Drosophila melanogaster: one gene and its partners. The gene in region 1 interacts genetically with each later gene. Each region holds a gene or a part of one and is shown on either strand. Other genes may lie near its edges. The genes, in order: sty, mop, vap and htl.

Region 1 (4,730 bases):
AGGCTCGAAACCGAATTCCGAATTCCGTCGGAACCCCCACATGAAAAACTATCTAAAAAATTGTGTTTATTTTTTATGTCTTCTCTCTATCAATATTTTAGCTAAACAAATTTGTGACAAACGCAAAATGACGATGGCAACGCCAACTCGCTTCCGTTGCGATCGATAAAGTGAAAAAATGGTATAAAGGCATTAAGAAAAATACTTTTACCAAATTAACATGAAAATACTTTGTATTTTGTTTAGAAAATATAAAATATTAACCTAAGGTTCAAAAAATTGTGAAACACATAAATATAATGTGAAAAAATATTTTTTGTGTCTACAAAAAACAATTGGATTGGTGCAGTGTGTAATTAGAAACTATATTATAAATAGATAATTAATTAATATTTTTTCTAATCAAGCAATAATTCTACTAAATCTATTATTTCTACCGGTGCAAAATGCGAAAGAAAAGAGGGGCCGAGTTAAGATCCGAGAAAAGCCCACAACTGAAATTGGAACGCATAGCTCATATTTTGGATTTGAGTAGTTGGGGCCACGAAGGCGGGGGAGTTGCCCATGCCCACATGGCCTGCCTATTCATAATTATATTGGAGGAGCCCCAGCCCCCGGAACCACCTTAAATGGAGCTCCACATGTATATGCGTATGCAGCGTGAGCCAAAAACTGGACACTCCGGCGGAAGCCATTTATGGCAAAAAAAAAACTTAATATAAATAAGATAAAAAAAAAACATTGGCACACCCGGGTCCAAAAATGCGAGAGGCACAGGGCCCAGAGGATCGGTTCGAATCGGATCGATATCGATGGCATAGTCCGTGGAATGCCAATGCAAAGCAGAAGGTGAAGGACTGAGGATTTGGGAGGCTGGAGGAGTCAACGGCGCAGACCAGTAGCCACATCCGCTGTCAAGTCTTTTGGGAAATTAACGCAGTTATTCACGCAATTATGTTACGCGACCGACCCAAAGAAAAGGTCTCCTCCGACAGGGCCAGCCCAACCCAGAGCCAAAAAAAAAAAAAAAAATTAAAATAAGAAACCCAGGAGAACTCACTCGCAGGGAATTGGAATTCCTGCGACGATCAGCATGAAATGTGCGCATTAGTCTTGGTCAACGCCAGTCCCAAAGACAGAGCTAATTGAACGGTACAGATTCAGCGAAACCTTAACCCTCTGGGTATCCTAGGGGTTTTAGGAAAACTCCCAGATGCTTTGGTTTTACCCAAAGTCATATAGAAACAGACCAAGACCTTGCATTTAAATGTACTTCTTATGACTTCTTTAATCATTAAAGGACTTTCCAATTTGCAATTCTTTGCTATGATTTAAACAATGATTATTGCCTACATTTATATCAGAATTTAATTATACATAATATCCCCATTTATATATTCAAATGTAAAACTACATTATGTTTGCAAAATGGGTTAAGTTTTTAAAATTCTTGCTGAGCCTCAGCCTCCATGTGAGCTGGCATAAAAGGCCAAAGTGTGTCTCAGCTTTCAGCCTTCAGTCCGATCTTGATTTCGCGTCATTATGATTCGCATACAGATTATACAAATTTCGAAAAAAGATATATATTCGGAGGGTAGGGACTGGTTGGTCTTCATGTTTATGAGACATCTGCAGACAAACGCAGCGGGTAGCCGGCGAACGAAAACACGATCTCCATCCTCATCAGCCAAACCAATTTCATTTCGAGATTCGTTCAGCTGTCGGTATTTGTGGGCTACTGTTTCGAATTTTTCAAAGTCGCCAAATAATTTTAATGATCTGGCACAGCGAACAAAGTACTAAATTAACTTAAGAGCCTTCTTCCAGCCACTTCGCCCCACTCATCCTCGCCGATTCCGCCTTTCCCCCCATTTGGGGCAGTGAAAATGATTTATGGCATTCCAGAATGCCTAAGCTCTAAGGCTCAGGCATAAGATTTGATTTTTAGGTAGGGAAAAAGGGTACAGATGACAAATTTATAAAATTAAGACCTATCATACTATCGATTAAATGTTATTCCATTACTCAAAGCTCAAAGATATTGTAGGGAAATTGTTCATCATTGTTTGACTAAAAGAAACAATGTCACGAATTTATTTTTATCGAGTTGATCTTGTTTTTTTAAAATATTGGCTAGGATAGACTTTTCAACTTTTCCAGAAATTTAATTCCCAATTTCTACAAACTATACAACCGCGTATTTACTCAGATATTTAAGATTCAAATGGATGAACATTTTATAATACATTTATAATATCCTTGACAAATCTTCGATAAGATCTCTTGCATAAAAATCACTGGCATATAAATGACTTTTAATGCCTTTCCAACTGATGAGCACTGGTCACTTAACCTTTGGGTGACTTTTAGCTCTCAAGAGAAGAACAAAAAGTCAAGATCCAAAGTTCCAATTGACAATATGAATGACTTGAGACATTTAAGTGTTCTTCGACTGCGAAGGTTCATATATTGATAGAGATGGACAAGGGACAATGAAGCTACTCACCGGTGAAGGGAAGTTGCTTGATGGATGGGTTCTGGTTGAAAGTTTTCCTCGGCTTGGTCGACTCGATTGCAGATAATGCGGATAATTTGATTAGAGATTTTTTTTGGCTCGGTACAGCTCGCCTTTGTTCGTTCTGGTTTTTGGGGTTGATTGAGTTGTTTTGTTTTTCTGGTGGCAACTGTACTCAACGAGATGCCTTGGTTAATTGATTAATAGCACGATTAATTTGTAATAAAGTTAAAGAGGCTTACGCTATGTATGATTATGTTTTTTTTTTCAATGGGATAGTTTACTATTTAAAATTGTTAATTATTTAAAAACACGCGCACTTTTACTTGGATTCACTTAAATTACGCATACGCCGTGTGCGCATCTATTAATCGCTAATTGCGTTGTGTCTTTGAACATACAACTGTATATATATCGGGTATATATATTTGGTAAATAATTTTGCAAGCACAAGTTCTCGGAGATTGCACGTTGAATGCAGCCTGACTATCGTCCAGTGACTGAGCCAATGTTGCACGACTTTTGCATCGGAGCTGCAGCCTCACCCGAAGATTGCCGATAGGATCTCGTCCTGGAGGGGAATACCCATTCGTTGGGCCGAAGGTCCCAAAATCCGAAACACGAAACGACATTGCGTGGGCTTCGTGCGACATTCGTATTGTTTTCCGATTTCGGCTATTGCTGCAGGACTAATCCTGGCTCCTGGCTGCTGGTTGCTCCTGTTCCCAGCTCCTGGCTCCCAGTTCCCTCCATTTGCATGGCCATCCAGCCCCCTCCAATTGCCTACCAACCCACCAGCCACCCGCCACCCAACATCCTGGCCTCGGTGGCCCGGCCAATGAGCACTCGGCTTTCAAGGTCGTCCGTTTGACGGCCATTTTGAATGCATCGCCACTTTCAATGGGCGCCCACTCACACACGCCTGCATTTCCTGGCCCAATGAGCTGGGCTCTGGCCCACTCAGTTGCCTTGGCAACGACCTTCGGTAGGCGTCGCCTCGACATTGGCCATGGCAGTGAATTTCCACTTGGGGGTTGTTGCAATTACCCCCAAGGTCATCCGTTGTCCATCAGCTGTTCGGCCAGGGTTGCCCTGCCTCCTTAAGGCGGGCTTATTTGAAAATTAGCCAGCACCCTGTGCACCGCTCCCAAATTAAAATCGAACAGCACACTCAAAGCTCATTTCGTTTACTGCCCCATAAATTAATCAGTGAAAATAATAAAGATTTCAATATTATTTCCAACGACATCCGGTCGAATGCGGCACCAAATTTGGCGGAAAGCAGCCACTTCGCCGAGCTCCACATATGGGCGGTACGCATCACAATAACTCTACATATATATTTGTATACGTATATATTGTATATGTATAAGGAACATCAGAATAAAGAACAATAAAAAGCTAAAGTCTAACAAGAAAGCTGAGTGAGCTAAATTGGATTCAAAAACGAATGTGGATTACTTTCTTGAGCGCTAGGAAAATGTTATTTTAGGATGAGTAAGTTGAGTAAGATACTTTTTGAATAGCATTAAATAATAATATATTTTAAATACTTCCCAAGAACATAAAGAAACAAAATAACCTTTTAAGATAAGGGTATCCCCGAAAGAATTTCATTTGCTTTGCTGCGGAGTTGGACAACTGGACATCTGCCATTGTTTGGACCCTAAATTGAAATGCCAACCGAAATGTGAATCATTCGATCAGATCAAACTCGACAACAAAAAGTGGTCTGCCATTCAATTATATATACGTATGTATATTGGCCGAAACATTTTTGGGCAAACAAATTCGAATAAATGAGTGTGAATGCGAACGGACAGAATAAAAATAAATGAAATTTCATTGAACGAAAATGCTCAATGAGAAATCCGTATGAAAGTTGGCCAAGTTGATGTCTGGGTGTTTGGCTCTGATGGCTTTTCGTGCATTCAATCCGCAATGAATACGCCACCCCAGTCCAACAGTTTTCCCGCCTGACGTCACAAGTGTCCTAGATAATCGCCGCAGTGGCAGAGGTAACACATTGGCCTCGAGGTGAATGTCTAAACATGAACTCGAGGGCAATTTCAGACAGCCAAAAGAATAAAAATAAAAATCACACTCACAGCACAAGTGGCAGCGAGACGCACGTGCAAAATATTTATTTGGAAATCAGCGATTGGCGTGGTCGCTGTTTTTCTCTAAGCAGATCCGTTCCCAATACCACTTCCGT
Region 2 (7,963 bases), about 11 Mb from region 1:
TTAAGCAGTTCATAATGAGCGGCGATTGCGGAGCATTGGCTGCCTTGCAGCGTTGTCGATGGGTCTCCAAAGCATTTTCCGCCACACCCAGAAGTTGAGCTGGAGCCCTGTAAAATAGCAATTATTTATTTCTTTCCATCGGACGAAATCTGGACATGTTACCCCTTGGTCCACTGTTTCAGCTGCAGTAGAGATAAATCCAGCACTGCGTCCGCTCCATGCATGGACAATTTAAGTTGATACTCGGAGCAGTGGCTAAGTTGCTGCACTTTTAAGCAGGTCACGGTGTAATCATCATAATGAGTCGGCTGGTCCAAAGCTTGCGGCCAGTAGGGATCGAAAAGCTATAGAACATATCAAATATTTAGATTCAATAATCTCATAGTTTTGCTGAAGTTACTCACTTCATTTGGGGTGTGCAGGCAAACCACAGTGCGCGACTTCTCCGACCAGATCATGGACCAGAAATCGTTGATGGTATTTGGCTGGGGAGTCTGAGCGACAATAAAGTTGGGACAGCCGGCACTCAAGTTCTAAATGAATAACAACGGCGTTTAAAGATTGTGTGCTATAAAAACATTTTCTGGAATAACTCACCTTCATGTAGGCGGCATTGATGTAGTCATCGGTCTGCTTGTCCAGCTTTACTCTGGCATGATCGTATGGCAGACAATCAAGGGATCGATTTTTCTCCGGGAACAATTTCGCAATGGTGGTGGATCGCTTGTTGGCAGCGGCTTCTTTATCCAACTTTTGCTGCAGCTCTTGCCATTTGGCGCCCAGTTGTGTTTTTCCATTCAACATTTTCACGTGCAAATTCTCTAGTAATTTTTCATAGCTCTCCACCTCCTTTTGGAAATATTTTGTCGTTTTTTCGTCCGTAAAAGTTTCGGATTGGAATGCAAAACTGCTCGAATGGCCATTGGCTGTGGCAGATGCCTTGGTCTGTTTCTCACTGACGGAATGTGTAACGGATACCGAGTCCCAGTCAAAGTTCTCCAGGGAACTTAGGTCGGAACAGTTGGATAGGTTATCTAAACTGGCACACTTCGGACCCGAAGGAATGGTAACTGGAGTTTGAGCAGTTCCCTCGGTGGCTGCTACAGGAATTTCCGCTGTTGCGGGAGCAGCGTGCTCTGCCACACTTTCTACCTTAACAGGCACCGATACCTGACTTGCCGGCGGCGTAGGAGTGGCCACCACCTGGGGCTGCAAAACAGGCTGCGGCAACATTGGCGGCGGAACAGCAACGGAGCAGTCAATGTCCAGGTCGCTAAGCAGATCCACATTGCTGGTAACCTTGGGAGGCAATGCCTCCGGCTTTGGTTCTACTTTGGTCAAAGCCGCGGAGGAGGCGTAAGGAACTCCGCTGGAAGTCGTCTGGGTTTCAGCAGTGCTGCTCGCTCCACTTTGCATATAAATTGAAGCAGTTGAATTCGAAGGAGGCGCAGGAGTGGGTTGTTGCTGCGGATTTACACTGCCAAGGTATCCATAGGGAGTGGAGTAGTAGTTGGATGACTCATTGCCCTCTATCGCAGAAGTGGAGTCCTTAGCTGCCATATTAACCTTGGTGTGGGACACGATAGGTGACTGTTGGATAAAAATTTCGTTATTTTAGGTCTCAATACCTTTAATATATATGGGCATAGCACTTACATCGAATCCAGTGGCGGTATTGCTGCGACTGGCAATCTCTGAGTCCGTTGTTCCCACCGACTGCTGCTTGCCACTCTGGCTAAACTGGTAGCTTTGCGAGGCTTGGGATCCCTTCAACGAACTGGTATCCTGCTGATAGCCACTGCTGTACTCGTATTTACCTGTCTGCGGATTAAAGCTATAGCCAGGATGGTTGGAATAGCTGGTGTAGGTGGCCGAAGGATGCGGAGATGTGGGAACCTGAGCTTGAGATGAAGTGGGGGCTGGAGTCGGTACTGGAACAGGACTTGGTACAGAAGAAACCCCAGGAGCTGGAGCTGGAGCTGCATTGGGATCAGTGTACTGCTGTGGATATGGCAAAGGTTGCCCAGCATTCGGAGGTGTTGCCTGCTGGCCAGGAATAGGTTGTGGCGACGCCTGGACAGCCTGCGATGGATAAAGTGATGGCTGTTGCGGAGCAAGTGACTGCTGTTGTTGTTGTTGTGGATAACCAGATGGTTGCTGCTGATATGCCAGTGGTTGTTGAGGCGTCTGGGACTGGGAATACCCGGTGGTCTGCTGCTGCGATGTCTGCGATTGTGGATATCCTGTAGCCTGTTGCTGGGACTGAGCATACCCAGCTAGATGTTGTTGAGGTGTCTGTGGATATCCAGTCTGTTGCTGCTGTGCTTGTCCAGTCGATTGCTGATTTTGGGCATAGCTGGGCGCTTGGAGCTGCGGTGCTTGCGACTGTGAATATCCAGTTTGTTGCTGAGGCGTCAGCTGTTGGGCATAGCCTGATAATGGCTGCTGTTGATAAGCTCCCACCTGTTGCTGCGGTGTCTGAGATTGTGGATATCCACCAGCTTGCTGCTGTGGCCCCTGACTTGGCGCATAACCCAAGGGCTGTTGAGCTGATTGTCCTGTTGAAGAGCCCGATGGTGCTGTAGGATAAGTCACCTGTTGAGCTTGAGCATTGACCTGTTGGTAAGCCTGCCCTGAATAACCTGCCGCTGTTTGGTAGGGATTGGACATTGGATTGACCACGAAGGGTGCCTGCAGGGTGGACGGCAGCTCACTGGGATTTGAAACCGAAACTGGATTGCCCGATGTAGCCACATACAGAGGCTGCTGGATATTCAATCCCTGGGAAGCTGAGCTTGCGGGCACTGTTCCGGGTGGAGCGTAAGCTAGAGGAGGAACAGACCCACTTGGATACCCGTAATTATAAGCCATGCCTGCTTGGTTGTTATCCTGCGACTGGCCCTGCAAATTCATCTGACCGAGCGCTCCGTGGAGGGTCTGAGAGTTTGGCGATGCTTGGGCCTTGTAGGCCGGTGGAGCAATGTGCTGCTGTTGCTGCTGATACATGGGATTCGTGTAGCCGGCGGCACTGGGATCAAAATACTGCTGCTGTGTGAGACTATAGGGTGGAGGTGGCTCATTCGGTGGTGCAGTGGCATAGGAACAAGCGGCCTGCGTGGGATTCTCCGAGCCCACCGGCACTGGACGCACTGTAGGCACATAGGCGGGATTCGAGGCATCCGCCATCGCTGCCTTGGCCTTGAGGTAATCCCTTAATTTGGGGGTGCTGCTCACCGCTGGCACAGGCGTAGTTTCCGCTATTGGTTTGCTGACAACTGGAGTTGTTGCGGCCTTAACGCTCTGCATCCTTTGCTGGCGCTCTTCGGACTGTACATCCCTGGCGGATCGAAATCTGGTAAGTAGCTTCTGTACATTTCCGGCTAGTTTCTTGTAGAATTCCAAGCCCTTGGCGGATTTGGCCAGCAGATCCTCATAAACATCATAGGATGCAGCTAGCGAGCTGTAAAAGTGCTCCCGTTTCTGCTTCACGTCCTGGAGCGTTTTCAAAACTGGTGCCGCCTTGGCATAGTTTTCAGTTAGAGCTTGCAGAATATTACCTTGAGCCACCATATTCTGATCGAGAAGTTCGGTGATCTTGTCGTGCTTGCCCAGCTCGGTTGCAAATAAAGCTTGGAGGCCCTCCTGTCCACCGTGGGCAATTACTTTGCCAGTGATATCATCCTCATTGATGGCTATCCTCAAATCCGCATGAAACTGAGCACGTTGCGCCTTCATTTCGTTGACTTTGTTGAGGATGAGCTTCACATCCCTGAAAATTTCGGTGGTATTCAGTTCCGAACTTAGTTTGGGCATCAGTTGCTGAATCTCAGGCAATGGTCTGGCCAGGATCTTTAGATTATTTACGTGCAGGCTCATGGCTTTCCGCAAGGTATTATTGGATTCCCCTGCCCGTGCATGGGCTTCACTGTATTTCTGGAACTCTCGCGATAACTCGGTAATGTGGGCATTTGGTGTTCGTTGAACGCCGGTGGCGGATTGGAACTCTCGCTCCGCTTTGGCTTCTGCCTCCAGCATGCTTGAAATCTCGCCCAGGTTGGTCTCCACATCGGCTGTAATCTCAGCCAGCTGAGACATGGCCTCTACAAGATCGCTGATAGCAGTCTTGTTTGCATTTAAGGCGGCACAGCGATCCACGATGCCCTGGGGCAACTTATTGGCTTGCTCCTCGTTGATATTCAGATTATCCAGGGTGAGGGAGCTCATGTACGACTCCAGTTGGGTGTCCTTCTCCTCCAGCAGAGCTCCGTACTTACGCAAAAGTTTGGCTTTCTCTTCGCTGTACAACGAGCTGGCTTCGTGGGCCTTCATGGGCACTAATCTGGCAAAGATGTCTGGACCCGCGTGCTCCTCGTCGCTTACTTGAAAGCCAATCCCATTGACCAAATTGGCACCTTGGACGGCTGCAATGGTGGACAATTCGGGCACCGCCTCATGGTAAATGAACTCATTTTCGTTTTTGGCATTTTTGCGCTTTGCTTCCACCACATCAGCGGTGAAGCTGAGGGATTCATTGATTTCCCGCTGGTCAGGAAGGCCCTTGGACTCTTTGCGCGCCTCCTCCAGTTTGTCCCAGGAAGCCTGAAAGGAATATAAAGTAAGCATTTAAACCTTTCCTTTAAATAGAGCTCAAAATGTTATAGTTACCTGGTAGAGCGTCACCCTTTCGCCCATCTGACGCTTCTCCTCGGAATGTTGGCCCTGGTATAGGTACAATATGCAGGTGAGATAGTTGATCTTGAAGCGAACGTACTTCTTCCACAGTTTGTACACAGAACTATCGATGACTTGAGCCACTGGACCATCATCTCCTCCCGTAAGAAGAGCAGCCAGTGCAGCTCCATAGTAAACCACAATCTGCGCCGTCACTTTGGCCACAATATGCGGTTTCCTATTGTCGATTAGCGACTTCTCGAGTATGCATTCCTGAGCTTGGGCAAAGCACACCTGTTGCTGAAAGACCAGCAGCTCTGGGGTCATAAAATCCCCTCCGCCATTGACATTGGCATAGCGTTCTCTCAGCTCTCCATAGGCCCAAGCAGCCGCCTGGAAGTGAGTGCAGGCCATCTTCATTCCATCCACATCGCCACGGGTCACCGACGCTCCGGACTGAGTGTGCAATGCGGCAATGTTGAACAGCACCGCAGCCCGTTCGAATCGCAGATCAGTGACCTCGTGAACGGCACTGTGATAGAGATCCTTCCATTTAAAGGTGAAGATTCCGCGATCCGCCAGCTGTGGAAATCGATTCTGAAGGGCGTGTAGCTGGCAATAGTAGCGTTTCATCACCGGCGCTCCATCTTTCGTGGTGTGCATGGCCTGGTTGCGCAAAGTCTCCAGGGCATGGACCTCTTTGGAGTAAGCCTCTGGATCTTCATGATAAAATTCCGCGATGTACTGGAAGTAAAACGTGAAATGTTTTAAGTTGGATTTTTGTTATGGAGTTTAGTGTAGGAAAACAAGAATATATTTTAGGGTAAATGGGTTTTCATGGGGAATTAAGTGCAATAACCCAACAAACTGCCAGTGTTTGCTTATAACTTTTTATTTGTTTGCCAATTTAATCAGATGACGACGATGACTCAGCCGCCAGACAAAGGGGGCTTAAAAGTTGGTGAAAACGGAAAATGCAATGGAGCAAATGGCATGGTGAGAATGGGAATTTCGATTCCAATATGAATCCAATAAGCAACGCATTTTCCCAATTTGACCGATAATTCCGTTTCACCAAGTTGTCTCCTCTTTGTTTTGCTGGCTCTCTTAATTATTTCACTCCCCCTTTCGCACTCTCTTCCTTTTACCTTTTTCAAAGCCGCAAAGGAGGTTCCCTCGGGACTCGATTTTAGGGCGAACCAGAGCATATGCAAACGGGGCACCGCCTCCATGGTGATTAGTTTACTTGTTGCCTGCCCAGTTGGCCTTTTATTTTACACACAATTTAAACTAATTGCTGGCAATTAATTTACCAATATCAAAACAAGATTGTTTTATGAAAAATGTTGCAGTGTGGCCGTTTCAGCTTTCTGGAAATATGCACTAAAAATGGCAGGTGCGTAGGGGGTATTCCATTCATTGGCATCGATACTTTTTAGAACGGTATTCTTTTCCAGAAGTATTAAATTTTTATGCCGATTAAATTTTATAAAGAAAATGAAATTTAAAAAATTTGATATTACGAATGCGAATGTCTAACAATTTATATAAATTGTTATAGATGGATGAAAGAAGTGCACTGCATATATATCACTGTGAACGACAGTTTACATAGTGACGAAGCGCACCATATTTTTGTTTGTTTTTTTTTTTCCTTCCTTGAATTCCCCATTAATCACAATTAGTTATTTTATTAATAGTAAATGCGCAACCAGACATTCTGTAAATATTTGTTGTTTATTTTTTTTATTGTTTATACATTATCAACTTAGGCTAAACACAGATGGGGATTTGGATGTAATACAAGTCGTGTGAGGGTGACTAATAACAAGAATGCAATTATTAGCTAATTGCCGCTTACAAACTGACGATGATACAATGGCAGCATACGGCTAAGTTAAGTTAGGTACATACGTTGGTCGTACTAAGACTAATTTAGACTAATGGAAACGCTACTAGGCTTTTCGCTTTGCTACGAGCCGCTTTGGAGATGTTTCGATACAGTTCCTAAGAGGATTGCCCCCTCCCCATTACTAATTACCCCTCAATTTCTATATACATGTCGCTGCTGTGCGTGGAGGCCGTGGAGCTAAAAGTCTGATCAACCTCGGGATCACTTAGCACACTAGCATCCGACTCGGTCTCCAGGTCCAGGCGGGAGAATTGTGGCGCTGATGTTTTACTATCCTCCACATTTGGTGTATGCGCATCGATGAAGAAGTCTGTGGAGCATGAGAAAGTAAGACAGAGTTTAGTTTAACCATTCATAAGAGCGAACTATATAAAATGAAATTTTGTTATGGGAATATACGGGGGAGTGATTGCAAATTTAGATCATTTACCTGCGCCAACGATTTAAAATTTGGACTTAATGCTTGAGTGGGTGAAGGGTTATGGAGGTGCATTTATAGTCGTTTAGTTTGTAAGTGCTTTAAAAGGCTACGTCGTGTAGTTCAGGAGTCGTGGGCATTACTTGTACTGCAAAAAATGTTTGGTGTTGATTCAAATGATACGATTTCTCTACGTAATGATGTGATTTTTGAATTGAAAGTGCGGTCGTTTCACAAATACCAACCTGATTCGACGCCATTCCATTCGCTGACCACCGTATTGTGGCTGTGCTGGTGGGGATTGGGGTGATCTTCGACAGAGCCTTCGTAGATCTGCAGATCGGTGGCCAGCTTGTCGTGCTCCGTTATTTCGTCAAAGTCAAAGATCTCGGTTACTTTCACCTTGTTCGTGTTGCTGTCAGTATAGTAATAGGCATATAGAGCGTCGTTGTGCGTGGTCATCTTGAGGACATGCTCAAAGTTGTCGACATCGTCCTCTAGCGGTGTGGCTCCACTGAAAACCAAAAGAACGGCACGATTAGTTAAACGCTTCCTTGGAGGATTAATCCTACTGCTTAACTTACCATTCATCCACAAGGATTGAAACACGGGGTCCATATAAGCGGCTGGAATGAAGAAGTCCTGTGGCATCGAAGTGAGGCTGGTCATAGAGCTGCAATAAAAACACATTCGTTAGTATAATTCATTTCATATTCAAATTCATTGCCAGCCGTCAATTCTAAATAAAACAAATTTATGAAAATGTGAGCGACAGCCTTAATGCACTTCAATTGATTACTTAAGCAAATGATCACAAGACAGGTACCTAATTAACTTACCGTGAATTTATTTAGCAGTCGTATCCGCATGGCGTGGTTCAACTGCAAAATTAAGTCCTCCACCATTACTCTGGCCTGCTTGGTAAGTTTGGGCGTCAGTGCTGATATTCTAAATATAGATCA
Region 3 (7,643 bases), on another chromosome or scaffold:
GAGATTTCTAGCAGATAGCACACCTTCATGTGAAGGCATTGTAGCACCACGCATTCCCCGCTAAGGACAAAATAGACATAGCTCATGGTACCCAAGTCTTCGGTGTAGATCGTCTCCAAGGGCTCGAATTGCTGAATTGTTCCATACTTACTGGCATTTACAATCTTACAAACAAGTTATATTATAATTTCTTTTTATCTACTATTATACTTACCTGTTCTTCGTTGAGAAAGTCAAAATAGTCAAGGGCCCGCAGAGCATCCTTCTTTTCCTGCCACATCTTTTGCATAAACGGTAGAAGAACAATTTTATAGTTCGTATTGAATATAGCCAGGAGTTCGCAATAAGCTGAAAGAATCAAATGCGATTAGGTGTCAAGAAACAAACGAATCGATTTACTTGTGGCGATATAAGTGTTGGTTCTGGGTGTATCTTCCATCACGTCAATATCACCAATGCAATCCCCGGGTCCAAAAATGGCCTCCGTTTGTACGGTAGGACGACTGGAGCCCTAAGAAATATACCATTTTTCAAATAAAAAAGCATATATATTTAATAAGGCATAATTGAAAAATTGTAGCTATAACTATGCAAAGCATATTAGAAAGTATTATATATAATTTGAATAGTTTACCTTTTTATATATGTTCTTAGACATTTCCACCTCACCGGCGATTATAAAATAAATGGTTACGGGAAAATCCTCCTCCTTCATAACAATACGCCCGGGAGATATTGCCATGAATTTGACAATCGGAACAAGACGGGCGCGGACTTTCTAAAAGGGGTAACAGGTCGGATAAGTAATATTATACATATGTACAAATGATCAGCGCGCTACTCACTGGCGGAAATTTTGAAAAGCAAGCCAGATTTGCCACAATGGTGCAGAGCTTTTTCCTCTCATCGACGGAACGCTTAGCATGTGGAGTGCGCAGCAGCGATTTCTCCTGCAATTAAGCAAACACAAAAAGGAATAAACTCTTGAGCTAGCCTTGATATGAAAGAAGAGGTTCGTTGGACTTACGGCCATGGTCATCATGCCCACTTTGCGCTTCTGTCGCAGCATGGCAACGTTCTTCTTCACATTCAGCGATATTCCACCCTCCTCGGGCAGCTCACTTAGCCACTGCATATTCAGTATCACGGATCGGATGAGCTTCTTAAACCGAATCTTGGCTATTTTCTTTCCAGCGCCATCGTGAACATCGCGTTGGCGCTTGGACATGATTATGCCTTCTAAATCCCACTGATGTCGAACTGTTCAGTTCAGAGTATTGTGTCCATATAATAGTATTCGAATGACAAAGATTCGGGCTGCCGCCTGCTGTCTAAATAAGCTTGAAAATATGAAAATATATAAACTTAATTTTACCCCATTTCAGATTTTGACGGCTAACGGTTTTCGTGCGCACAAAAAACATGTGTTATTTTCAAAGTGTTTAAATCATCTTTTGTAATTTCAACACATATTAGCTTTTCATTTAAGAAATGTACATTCAAATGCTGAATAAATATTATTTGCGTTTGTTTTTTCTTTAAAATATTATATCTTAAATTGGCTTATCGTTTATAATCGATTTCTTATTCGAGCTGTACTCTCTGGCGCTATCTTGACGCACATACATTCGTCCGATAAGTTGGGTGTGTGGTATATTTCGATGATTCACTACGTTCACACTGCGCACAATTGAATTCTGTGGCTATCGGTACGGAAGAAATTTTAGTTCGTTTTAAATATGCAATTGTTATGAATAACACAAGTTGAGCAAATAAAAGACGGCAATTCCCAGCAGCGCGATTTGTTTTTTTAGCTCGGTGCTGCAGTGCAATGTAAAGTATATAGAGGAAAATATTTACACATGCGCATTAACCGATTAATGTTCTGTGTAAATGGTTTTATTTTTTTTTTTTTTGTATTTTTTGTTACCCATATGAGAGAGAATTAAATGGTTGTGCTAATGATTCATTTACAAAGGAATCACAAACCGAACACAGCCCAGAAATTGTGAATCAAATGGGCAGTAATTACCCCGCTTGAGAGGAGTATGATAAAGACGGCGACGGTGATGACGATGTTGATGATGATGAGATGGTGTTGATGATGATGATGATATGATGACTCTTCGGGTCGTGTATGTATGAAGAAAAGAACCGAATGAATTTTTTTGTGTTCGGCTCGTTTGGCAAAAAGGGCTTAGCCTAAAGTTTGTGTGTGGTGTGCGGCTCATATAAATCGCTTGTGTTTTAGATAGATGTTGATGTACAAGAGGGTGCAGCATATTCCTATATATATACCAATGTACATAAAGTATATATACGGTGTTACAATTCATAAGTAACTTGTACTTTCATACAACTCGAAATATCCTAAAAATGTCTGCGCATATGTAAGAAAGTCAGTCGCCCGGCGATTTCAAAGAGCAATATGTACATATGTACAGTGGCTCACAGCTTAATTCGTCCAGAGGTAAATGTTTATTTAATAATTCGATGAAAAACCGTTTAAAATATCAAAGAAATGGAATAGACAATTTTCCTTATCCATACACATTGAAAACGTATAGAATCAATATACAGATTCTAAGATGAAAATCTTTATAGAAGAAACAACTTAAAGATCTTAAAGTTGTATGGTTTTTTGTTGTCTAAGCTGTGGGTTCACTACACTCCTATATTACTGACTGAAACAATCACAATTGATTTGTTATCTGTAAAAGTAAACAAAGCGCAAACAGCTGATGGATGTGCTGTCCATCTTATCTTTCATTTAGTTTACTGCGAAGTCTACGTCGTTAATTGCTTTTAAATATGGTTTTGGATATAAAGTAGCATTGTCTCTATATTCTAATTAATAAACCCGGTTTCTGGTGCTGGTTGTAATCGGTTGTAATAGCGCCTATTAGTAAATTTCTTGTTTTACCAATAGGCTTAGGTTTAATCGTATTTAGTGTAGGTGTGATGTATTCTTGCCCCACAATTTTGCATACGTTGTTAAATTATTTGTTAGATCCTCAACTTTCGTAACATTGGACCCGAATTTTGTTTTGGACACTTATAGCGAATCTATTCCAATTTGTTTTTGTGAGATTACCACCACCGATATGGCAAAGAAAATGATTTCACGGTAAGCCCCGAATTCCGAATTATTTTCCATTATCTATATTTAATAGCATTAGAAAGCGGAAACTAGAACTAACAAATCTCTCGGGGCGTTTTTAGTGAATGGTTTTAGACATATCTTGGTTTAGTTAAGCATTTGATTCTATTAGTGACTCTCTAATCTGATTTCTGATTTTTATCAAATATGATTTTCGTATTGTAATCAAAGTAAGGCAGCTAAGTGTTTTTATCTGGTCTTCTTACAGTTTAGCACGGAAAACCCCACACAGTCACAAAAGTTAACGTATCTCCTCAGTTAAACGCATTCTTATCATTGCTATATGTGGCTTTTATTAAATCGAATTCCACTCGAAGTTAAATATAGACTAAGACTCGCATTTGCTGAACAGAGATCATAAGCCTAACAATGGCGGACCTAATACATTTGGGAAACATTGATGTTGTCATCCAGAAAGATAAGCCCGGATCGCCAACGGGCTGTTCGGATGATGGGAATCTTGCGGGGCTGGGTGGCATGACCGGATTGGGTGGCATAATGGCACCTGGCGGCATCGACTTGGGTGACTTGGCTCAGGAATTGGATCACGATGAATTCGATGGACCACATATGCTGAATGGTAAGTAAAGTTACATGCCCATACATTGTAGTTCGATCGATAACTAATTTTCCTTGCAAACTCCAAACGCAGGTGAACGTCCAGCGATTATTGCTCCTCCGGAAAGCGAATGGTACCATGGACGACTCGATCGCTACTCTGCAGAGTCTCGCCTACGCGGAAGCAGTAAACTGGGCAGCTATTTAGGTGTGTATAAGATGGTATTCGAAGGTGAGAAAGTATTACTAAATAAATACCTTTGTGTTCTTTTTTTAATGCTGAGCAGTTCGCGAAAGTGACCGCAAACCTGGCTCCTATGTTCTGAGTTATTATGGCCGCACCGGCATAAATCATTTTCGGTAAGTAATAGGTTAAGATACCCATTAAATGCCATTGTTTTGAATGATTTTTTATATATGTATGTTGTATCGTTAACATAGGATTACAGCTGTGTGCGGAGACTTCTATATCGGAGGACGACAATTCATTTCCTTAAGCGACTTGGTTGGTTACTATACCTCATGTAGTGATCTACTGAAACGCGAACGCTTGGCCATACCAGTTGCTCCGCCGGAGCCAGTTAATGATAAGAAACGCGTCGTAGCCATCCTGCCTTACACAAAAATGCCAGAGACCGATGAACTGAGTTTCCAGAAAGGTGATATCTTTTTTGTACACAATGACATGGGCGATGGCTGGTTGTGGGTGACTGCCCATCGTACGGGCGAGCAGGGAATGATATTCAGAGAACTTGTTGACGATCTGGATGTATCTATCGATCCAAATACGGTGTTTCCCTGGTTCCATCCCAACTGCACCAAAAACGAAGCCGTCGATATGTTGGTTAAAGGTGTGTATTATTAGTTTAAGGTACCTACAAGTAAGGAAAGCAAGCTTTCCCGAGATTCACGAGATGAATCCTTAGAATTTTGAGCTTCTTCTAGTGACGCCTACAATCGATATTTTCGACTTTTCTCTGTTGCTATATGTATGTAATTGAAACACATTTTTTCATCCTAACAGCTGGACCAGGAAGTTTCCTCGTTCGCCCAAGTGACAACTCACCGGGGGATTACTCTCTATTCTTTCATATAAACAATCAAATCCAACGCTTTCGTATTGAAAAGAAAGGCGTGCGCTATTTAATGGGCGGTCGTACATTCGAATGCTTGGATGCGGTTATAAATCGATATCGCAAAGAGCAAATTGTGGAGGGCCACTCACTGAACCATCCAGTTGTCAATGGCATTCAGCCCGAGTTCAATCAGCAATATGTTGTGGAAAAGGCCGCTGAAAAGATCTACGCAACATTGCGCGAGTGTCGTGACCAAATCGGTCTCAAAAAGATCAAGGGAATCAAACATCACGGCCATTTGAACAAGAAGTCGGACAAAACGACGAAATGGAAGCAACTCTATTTCGCTTTAATCAACGATGGTTCCGAGACGCAACTATGCTTCTACGACAATCCGAAGAAGACCAAACCGAAGGGTCTGATCGATTTGTCCTGTGCTTACCTCTATCAATGTCACGATTCGCTGTGGGAGCGTCCCTATTGCTTCCAAATTGTCGAAAGGGCCCTGCCATGCTTGGCCACAGTGACGTATCTGTGTGCTCCTAGTCAGGAAAGCTACGTGGAGTGGATTAATTCGCTCAAGGCACAATGCGATTCCCAGCTGAGTCGTGCCCAGAAGAAGGTATCACGCCTTCGTGAGCTTCGTTGTCTTAATCTGCATGTGCTGGAAGCTCATCGATTACCATTTAAACTAGTGCCACATCCATACTGCAGTATTTCCCTCAATCAAGTCAAAGTGGGCAAAACTCGTGTCAAAATTGCACCCGAACCCGTTTGGGAAGAGGAGTTTGTGCTAGAGTAAGTCTACCATTCCTTCGCCTATTTGATAACTTATCGAATAATATATGTTTGTAACTTGCTTGCTTGCAGCGATGTTCCGCCAGATGTTGTCTCCCTAACCATAACATTAATATCGCGCGGCAAACGCGGTAAGGACTCCGAAGTGGCTGAGCTAACCATTGACTTGTCTAGTCTAAAGAATGGCCAGGAAACCGAGGGCTGGTACCAACTCACTGGCATGACGCCGATGGGTGAATGGGGCTCGCTACGATTGCGTATGCGCTACCTCGACGATCTGATAATGCCGTGTGAAGAGTACAGTCCTCTGCAGCAATTGCTCCTCGAATCGGAGCTGTATGCTGTGAAGGCGCTGGCTGAATTGTGCCATAATGATCGGGTTCCTTTGGCCACGGCTCTGTTGCGAGTCTTTAGGCAGGAGAAACGGGAAACGGAACTAATTCGAATGCTGTGCCAAGCGGAGGTGACGCGCGAAAACGAAACCACAACGCTTTTCCGTGGCGCATCCTTGGCCACCACCCTAATGGATCTATATATGCGCACCGAATGCAGCGGCTTCCTGCAATCGGCCGTCAGCGAAACCGTGCAGCGCATTTTGGAGAGCAAGCAGTCGGCTGAATTGAATCCCACGAAAATGGACGTCAACGATGATGCCTGTACGAATGCCGAGTTTCTATTGCAAATCCTCGATCTGGTCACCCAGTCGATATTCACTTCACCGGACGCCTGTCCACGCAACGTGCGTTTCATTTGCAGCTGTCTTCAGAAGGCTGTGATGGCCAAATGGCCGACAGAGCGGCTCGTTCGCACACGCGTCGTCTCTGGCTTTATATTCTTGCGCCTTCTGTGCCCAGCGCTGCTCAATCCACGCCAATTTGGATTGGTCAGCGAGACGCCACCGATGGCAGCAACACGATCTTTGGTCATGGTCGCCAAGTGTCTGCAGAATCTGGCCAACTTGATTGAATTCGGCGGCAAGGTGCGTATCGATTCGACTCAGTTATGTGATTACCAAAATAAATTCGATTTCTTTTTCATTTTTAGGAACAATACATGGAGGTTGTCAATCCGTTTATCTTGAAGAACAAGGAGCGTATGATTGTTTTCTTGGATCAACTGTCCTCGGTGAACGATCCGAACCAACCGCTTGGAATGTTTGTCGAACAAAGTACAAATCTGAATTCACAAGACACTGGTAATTATTTGTCAGCTCATGTTTTCTATTTGGCGCTGTTATATTATTAAATATACAATGATTTCTTTTATAATTCCTGCAGGACGCGAGCTGGCTACCTTGCATCACATCTGCGTATCTCATTCGCAAGAACTGCACGAGCTATCCAACATACTTTCAATTAAGAAGCTGGTCACAGTGACGGACATGCTGACCAAACACAAGCTGAAGTATCGCGAGATGATCAGCTAAAATCAATTGCGAGGAGAGCGGATAATAAAAAAAAGCGATGTCTTCTTATCTACAAGTCCCTTCATACCTTTTTATAAAAATATTTATATGTGTATACTATTAGAATACATAAAATAAGAACTCAAAATAACTGGTTGAATTGTATTGGAATAGTAAACAGCATCTCATTTATAAAATTATTTATATGGAAATGAAATAATATTTAACAGACCGGTATGCATTTATTTATTATTATTATTACAAATTAAAAATAACCTATAATACACTAGCTTACACGGATTACTCCGTATAGCCGCAAACTCAGATATTCAAAATGGTTTTGCTTTCGATATTGTTTAAAATTTATTAGTGCATTACCAACGTCAAATGGCAGTTGGCGTCCAAATGCACGGCATTTATCCAAAAGTCAATACATTTTTTTTTGAAATAACGCATAAAATCGAAATAAATTAAAGAATTCAAAAAGAGTGCAAAAGACTTCCTCTGAAAACATACACTGTGTTTTTGAATGGCTCCCTTTCGGTTTCTTGCAGCTGAAAAATGTTTTTTTTTCGAATTTCTTCGCACTTAAAGGCGTTGCAATGGGCATGGAAAAGTCAATAGTCAGCTGAATTTAATATAAATA
Region 4 (5,031 bases), on another chromosome or scaffold:
GGTTCTAGGCAATGATGAATCAATGTTTTGCAGGCCTAACTTATTTGAGCCCATATGATACAATAAATACATTCAACTCAATTTCTTAATCTTAATCTACTAATCCCAAAATTTAATTGATTTCCCAAGTCACCTAGCAAAAGTTAATATATTGCTCTTCCTTATTTTCATTGACAGCTTCAATAGCCCATCTGTTTATCTATTGCAACTGAATAAGTCTAGCAGTTAACTTATTTTTTGGTTGTTTAATCCGCTGGTCGAAAGCGTTTCTCATTGGCATATTTCGCATATAATTGGCTATAAAAATTCATGTTAATGTGCAATTAATCATATTAGCAATTAACTTTATGCTGTTTGGCTGCTCTGCACGAGATCTCGACGAGCTGCGATCTGCGAGATGGCTGCAGATCGTGTCGCCCAACTCGAAGATCGTGTCTCCAAAAGCCTGTTACCGTTCCCGATTTTTCATTTCCCATTCGCAGATTCCCAGAGCCAAATGGCCAAAGGCTCGACCAACCAGACTTTGAGCCAATTTCCCAATATTTATTTCTATGCTCGAAACGCTAACAACTTGCGTTTCGTTCTGGCCAAATTGAAAAGCCATACGGAAGCTGAAGCTGCGATCGGCAGCCTCGAGGAGAAGCACTTTTGGGTAGCCAAGAGGAGCCCGGTTTGGAGCCAGGTTGGAGCCAGGAGGCTTGCCCAGGAGTGCATAAAATTTAAGTATTATGACCATACACACTGATCGGTGGCCGTCTTTAACCCGTGCTTTCCCCGGTCTCTCTGCGGCTTTACGAGGTTGTTAACTGTTGAAACTATGCTAACCACTCATGGGGATCCTCCCTCCCAATTCCGCCGTGGAGCATCAATTAATCAGTCAGGCGTAACGCCATTTGGCACTGAACGGGTCCCGTCGGCCACAATTGATGGTCAATAATCGTTAATTGTTTTCGATTTTCGGCCAAAATCCCCCCTGCGTCATTGTCCATTGTTTGGCTAACCCTTTTCGTTATTTTTGGTGTCTCCATAGAGACAAACGCTAAACGATGCCATTGTCTTTGGCGCACAGCGTGTGTGCTTTGATGGCCTTTTCACCACGAGTGTCATTCATTAGAGGGGCTTTCTTCCATCGCCACTTGGCTACTGGTTCTTATGTGTCTGTTGGCCATTTGACATTGGCTATAAGTAGCTCATAATTAATAACTGCTAACTTACTTAGCGAGCTATTGTGTTGGCTAATGAATCTCATTCCGCATTTTCCGCCTCAAACGAAGCGCAAAGAAATGCGCAAAGAATTTGTCAGTAGAATCTTAGGCCCTCATAGGCCATAAATCTTTTTAAAAAATAATAATAATTAAATTCAAGTGACTGATCTATTCTGACTAAGATAAGTTAGCTATTCTTTTTAATAAAGCATGATCCATCAAACCAATTATAACTACATAAATAATTGATCTGAATATAAGGAATCTTTTTGACAACTACCCATCTTCTTTGCACCCTCATAATGAAATTCATGAATTTCCTCGCTGCGCTCGAAACTATGCAACATATTGTGCGTTAGAATATCTTTGAGATATTCCATTCGACTCAATTGAACGAATTTTAGAACGAGTGCGGTCTGTGCACTCAATTACATTTCACTTTCCAAGGGAAGGCCGCCACTCAGCTACACACTTGTGTGTGTGTGTGTGTGGGTCCCCCATATATAGGGTATAGGGGCCCCTATACCATATAGTACCATACATACATATACCGCATACCCAACCCCTCGCTTTTTCGACCCTTCCTCTCTTTGGCTGCGGATTATACAATGTGTGGCTGGCGTTCCGTTCAATTTTGTGTGTTTTCTGTATTTGTTTACGCGCCTGCCGCAAAAATACATTGCAGAGATGTGTTCTCCAGCATGTTGAAGTTGATGGGGGAAATGTGAATTCGTTTCATTTGTTCCCTCATTTAATTGAAGAGATTTATTTCGCAGAGCTGGCTCGGTTCTGTTCGGTTCGCTTGCTTTTTTTTGACTCAGTTGCGATCGGACTGCGTGCCGTTACAGTAGGCGAAATCGGAGGAAAATCGTTGGAAAATCGGTTGGAAAATCGTTGGAAAATCGGTGAAAAATCGTCGAAAATTAGAGCGAACGATCGATCGATTGAACGCGTAATAACGCCATATAATATAATTATACTAATAATTATTAGTAATGCCTCTTGGTGAAAACGCACACATTTTGTGGATGGAAAGAAACAAAACAGAGTCAAGTGTGCAACGGTTTCTGGTTCTGTTTAAGTGCCTAAGTGCCATATAAATGCGTACTAAAACATTTCTGGAATTTTAAGTGGAAACATTCTCGAATTCTGTGAACTTTCCCAATTGTGTTTTTAGTGAAAGACTTACAATTTAGACGAAGGCAAGGAGAAATTCCAACGCAGAGACACTTTGGTGGATATTTGGCAAGAAGCTTTTTGGCATTTTTTTTTTTTTGTTCGTGGAGCAACGCACTTTGTGAGGTAAGTCTTTAAAAATACACACCGTGCATCGTTTAATTTAGTTTATTTTGTTTTTGGTTTTTTTTGCGTAGTTGCGCAAATCATTTGTTTGATCCACTTTTTGATTGACCGCGCACAGCAATTTGACTTTTTAACCCAAAGGCCAAAAAGTGTAAAATGTGCAGTGGTTCGGTTCCAAAGCAATTTGTGTCGTTTATCCCGCTGTGTGTGTGTGTAGTCAATCGTTCAATTATCTATTCTCTGGCTACCCCATAATAATACAGTGAATATGGACAGTTGTGGGCTCCCCATAGTATCTGTTTTTTTTATTTTTTATTTATTCCATTCGGTTCTGCTATGGTACATGCTCAAATTGAAAGCACTTTTCCACAGGGTTCCCATTCTAATTTATATTTATTTATTTGCTTTTACAAGCCAACCGATGCCCCAGAGCTCGGGAAAATATTTCAAACTCATAATTCTGTTATATTCCAACGCTCCCTTAGAATGGGATTTTGTTTATTAACCAACAGCATATAGCATATATCGTATCATCTAGAGTCTAGATTCTAGAATGTAGACGGTATAGGAACATGCAATATTTTCTAGCCGCGTAAACAAACATTTCAACTTGTCTGCTCTTTGTCCGACTTGCTCTATATCTGAGTGAGTATATAGCTAAAGATATAGCTATCTGTGTGTATATATATGTATATATATATATTTATCGGGTATCTGTTTTGTCGGTCGGTTAGCTTTACGATGCCATCTTCTAGGTGATTCGGCTTCTGTTTTGTTGCCTTTGGCAATCACTCAATTTGCTGGCCGACAACCGAAGACGCTTCTTACTTTTCGCCTCCCTTCTCTGCAATTTATTTATGAATGATAATTAAGGTTAGGTTTGTTTAGCTAATTGTGCGGCCAGTTCCCGGTATTGTTCCCATATCATCTCAGGTGGGATCCACGCAGACTTTCGGTATGATCCTTTGATCTTTATGATGTTAAAGTACAAATGTCACGAGAATATATGCTTGCTATATAATATTAAATGTTTTCATGAGAGTTTATCATAAAATCAGTGTTTACCAAATAAAGATTTCGATTTAGAAATAGATTTATGTCAACAATAAAGTAATAATGTTATTTTTTGGTATTATAATATATTATAGCTTAAGCTTATCAATGCTACAGCACTTTTATAATGGATTTTGTTGTCTAAATGTTTGTGAGTACTAATAAAATTTTAAAGCTCTAAATGGCAAATTTACAAATATATAAGTAAAGCTTGCAACAATTTAAGAATAGCACATATTTATTTCAACTAAATCTGTTGAACGTTCTTTATATAAATCGCTGCGTGCTTTATATTTCTGAAATGTAAATCGAATCAATAGTTCACTACTCATATACTTTGTGATAATTTAACGTAGCTTCGCGTTTTTGATAAAGTCGACTTGCCACAATCGACCTTTCGCTCCATCTGCTTCTTTTCGTTTACCCCATGGGATGCAACCTTCTCGCCGTCACGTACTGAATGGTATATACTAGATGAACGGGTGGGGATGGATGGATGGATGGATGGCTGGATGGGATTGGCATTGGGTGGCTGATGGCTGGTGGAACCTGCCGACGAACCGTGCGAAATAACAGACTCGTGCCGGTCTCGACTTGGTATCGGATACACTGAGCGGCAGCGGGGCAACCGCCAAGTGCGTCAATTGCGGGTCAACCCGTGCGATTGAAATGGATGCGCCAAGTGACCGGCGATTTCAATTCGATGGGAAATGTACATATACCGTGCAATGTTTGTATACTTTGCAAATACTTTCCGGAACGTGTTTGTTTATAAATCGGGCGATTTTGGACGGCACAGGAAATACATACATATACTAAAATTGCGCGCTCATTATCGATGGAGGTGAAGGTCGGAGGGTGGAGATAGAATACCAAACATATATACAATTTTTGGCAGTTTCCGATTTGGCGGATGCCTTCCTGGAAGTCAACATTTCGGATAACCCCATCATTTAGACGCTGGAGTCGCTACTTCCCCTCGAGAATCGACGACAATGTCTGTGCAACACATGTGGCACGATCTTAGGTAGACATACGTATATGTACATTCGTGTATGTTCGATGCTGATGATGTGCCCACATGTTGCAGTCAACAATAGAGCAACAAATGCAAGCCGAAACAATATTTGCCCTTGTCTCTGCTCTGACTCTGACTGTGGGCGTGGCGACGGGGGCGGGAGAACAGAGACAACTGAACACAGTAGTCTTCTCCGCCGGCCGTTATTTTTGTTGCTTTTAATTTCTTTAATTTTTTTTTGTCCGCCAGATGTGGGCTGAATGTTGAATGCGGACTGGAAAGATCAGACCCAGAACGCGGAGAGAAACTGTGTCTGTTTTAATTAAAGATGAGAGTAATACCCAGTGCAAACTGAGAGATACCGCCGATACTGAGATACAAAGCCAGACGGGGCTGGCATGTGTGGAAAATTAAGGCTGCCGTTGAAAGCGAAAAGATGCGGGACGCTAAAGG

The links.
Region 2: of sty (region 1) and mop, changing one suppresses a phenotype caused by changing the other (phenotypic suppression), as found in Drosophila melanogaster (one study listed by BioGRID).
Region 3: of sty (region 1) and vap, changing one enhances a phenotype caused by changing the other (phenotypic enhancement), as found in Drosophila melanogaster (one study listed by BioGRID).
Region 4: of sty (region 1) and htl, changing one suppresses a phenotype caused by changing the other (phenotypic suppression), as found in Drosophila melanogaster (one study listed by BioGRID).

Annotation. Positions count from the first base shown.
Region 1 is NT_037436.4:3,421,919-3,426,648, forward strand, and holds the start of sty (sprouty), read right to left. Parts: upstream 3,018-4,730; 5' UTR 2,507-3,017; intron 1-2,506. UniProt on the Drosophila melanogaster protein: Inhibitor of tracheal branching that restricts branch budding by antagonizing the BNL-FGF pathway (BNL: branchless, an fgf inducer of branching).
Region 2 is NT_037436.4:14,770,093-14,778,055, forward strand, and holds the start of mop (myopic), read right to left. Parts: upstream 6,038-7,963; 5' UTR 5,904-6,037; coding exon 5,820-5,903; intron 5,416-5,819; coding exon 4,666-5,415; intron 4,600-4,665; coding exon 1,657-4,599; intron 1,591-1,656; coding exon 598-1,590; intron 534-597; coding exon 405-533; intron 345-404; coding exon 163-344; intron 108-162; coding exon 1-107. Other genes in the region: bmm (brummer), read right to left, coding at 6,709-6,893, 7,247-7,515, 7,586-7,674, 7,841-7,949.
Region 3 is NC_004354.4:15,999,812-16,007,454, reverse strand, and holds vap (vacuolar peduncle), read left to right. Parts: upstream 1-1,642; 5' UTR 1,643-2,470; intron 2,471-3,010; exon of another isoform or gene 3,011-3,127; intron 3,128-3,368; 5' UTR 3,369-3,529; coding exon 3,530-3,740; intron 3,741-3,812; coding exon 3,813-3,926; intron 3,927-4,005; coding exon 4,006-4,078; intron 4,079-4,159; coding exon 4,160-4,569; intron 4,570-4,742; coding exon 4,743-5,592; intron 5,593-5,664; coding exon 5,665-6,571; intron 6,572-6,636; coding exon 6,637-6,787; intron 6,788-6,869; coding exon 6,870-7,018; 3' UTR 7,019-7,504; downstream 7,505-7,643. Other genes in the region: CG12698 (uncharacterized protein), read right to left, coding at 24-164, 215-348, 400-511, 635-778, 846-950, 1,028-1,228.
Region 4 is NT_033777.3:18,049,978-18,055,008, reverse strand, and holds the start of htl (heartless), read left to right. Parts: upstream 1-2,024; 5' UTR 2,025-2,507; intron 2,508-5,031. UniProt on the Drosophila melanogaster protein: May be required for patterning of muscle precursor cells. May be essential for generation of mesodermal and endodermal layers, invaginations of various types of cells and CNS formation.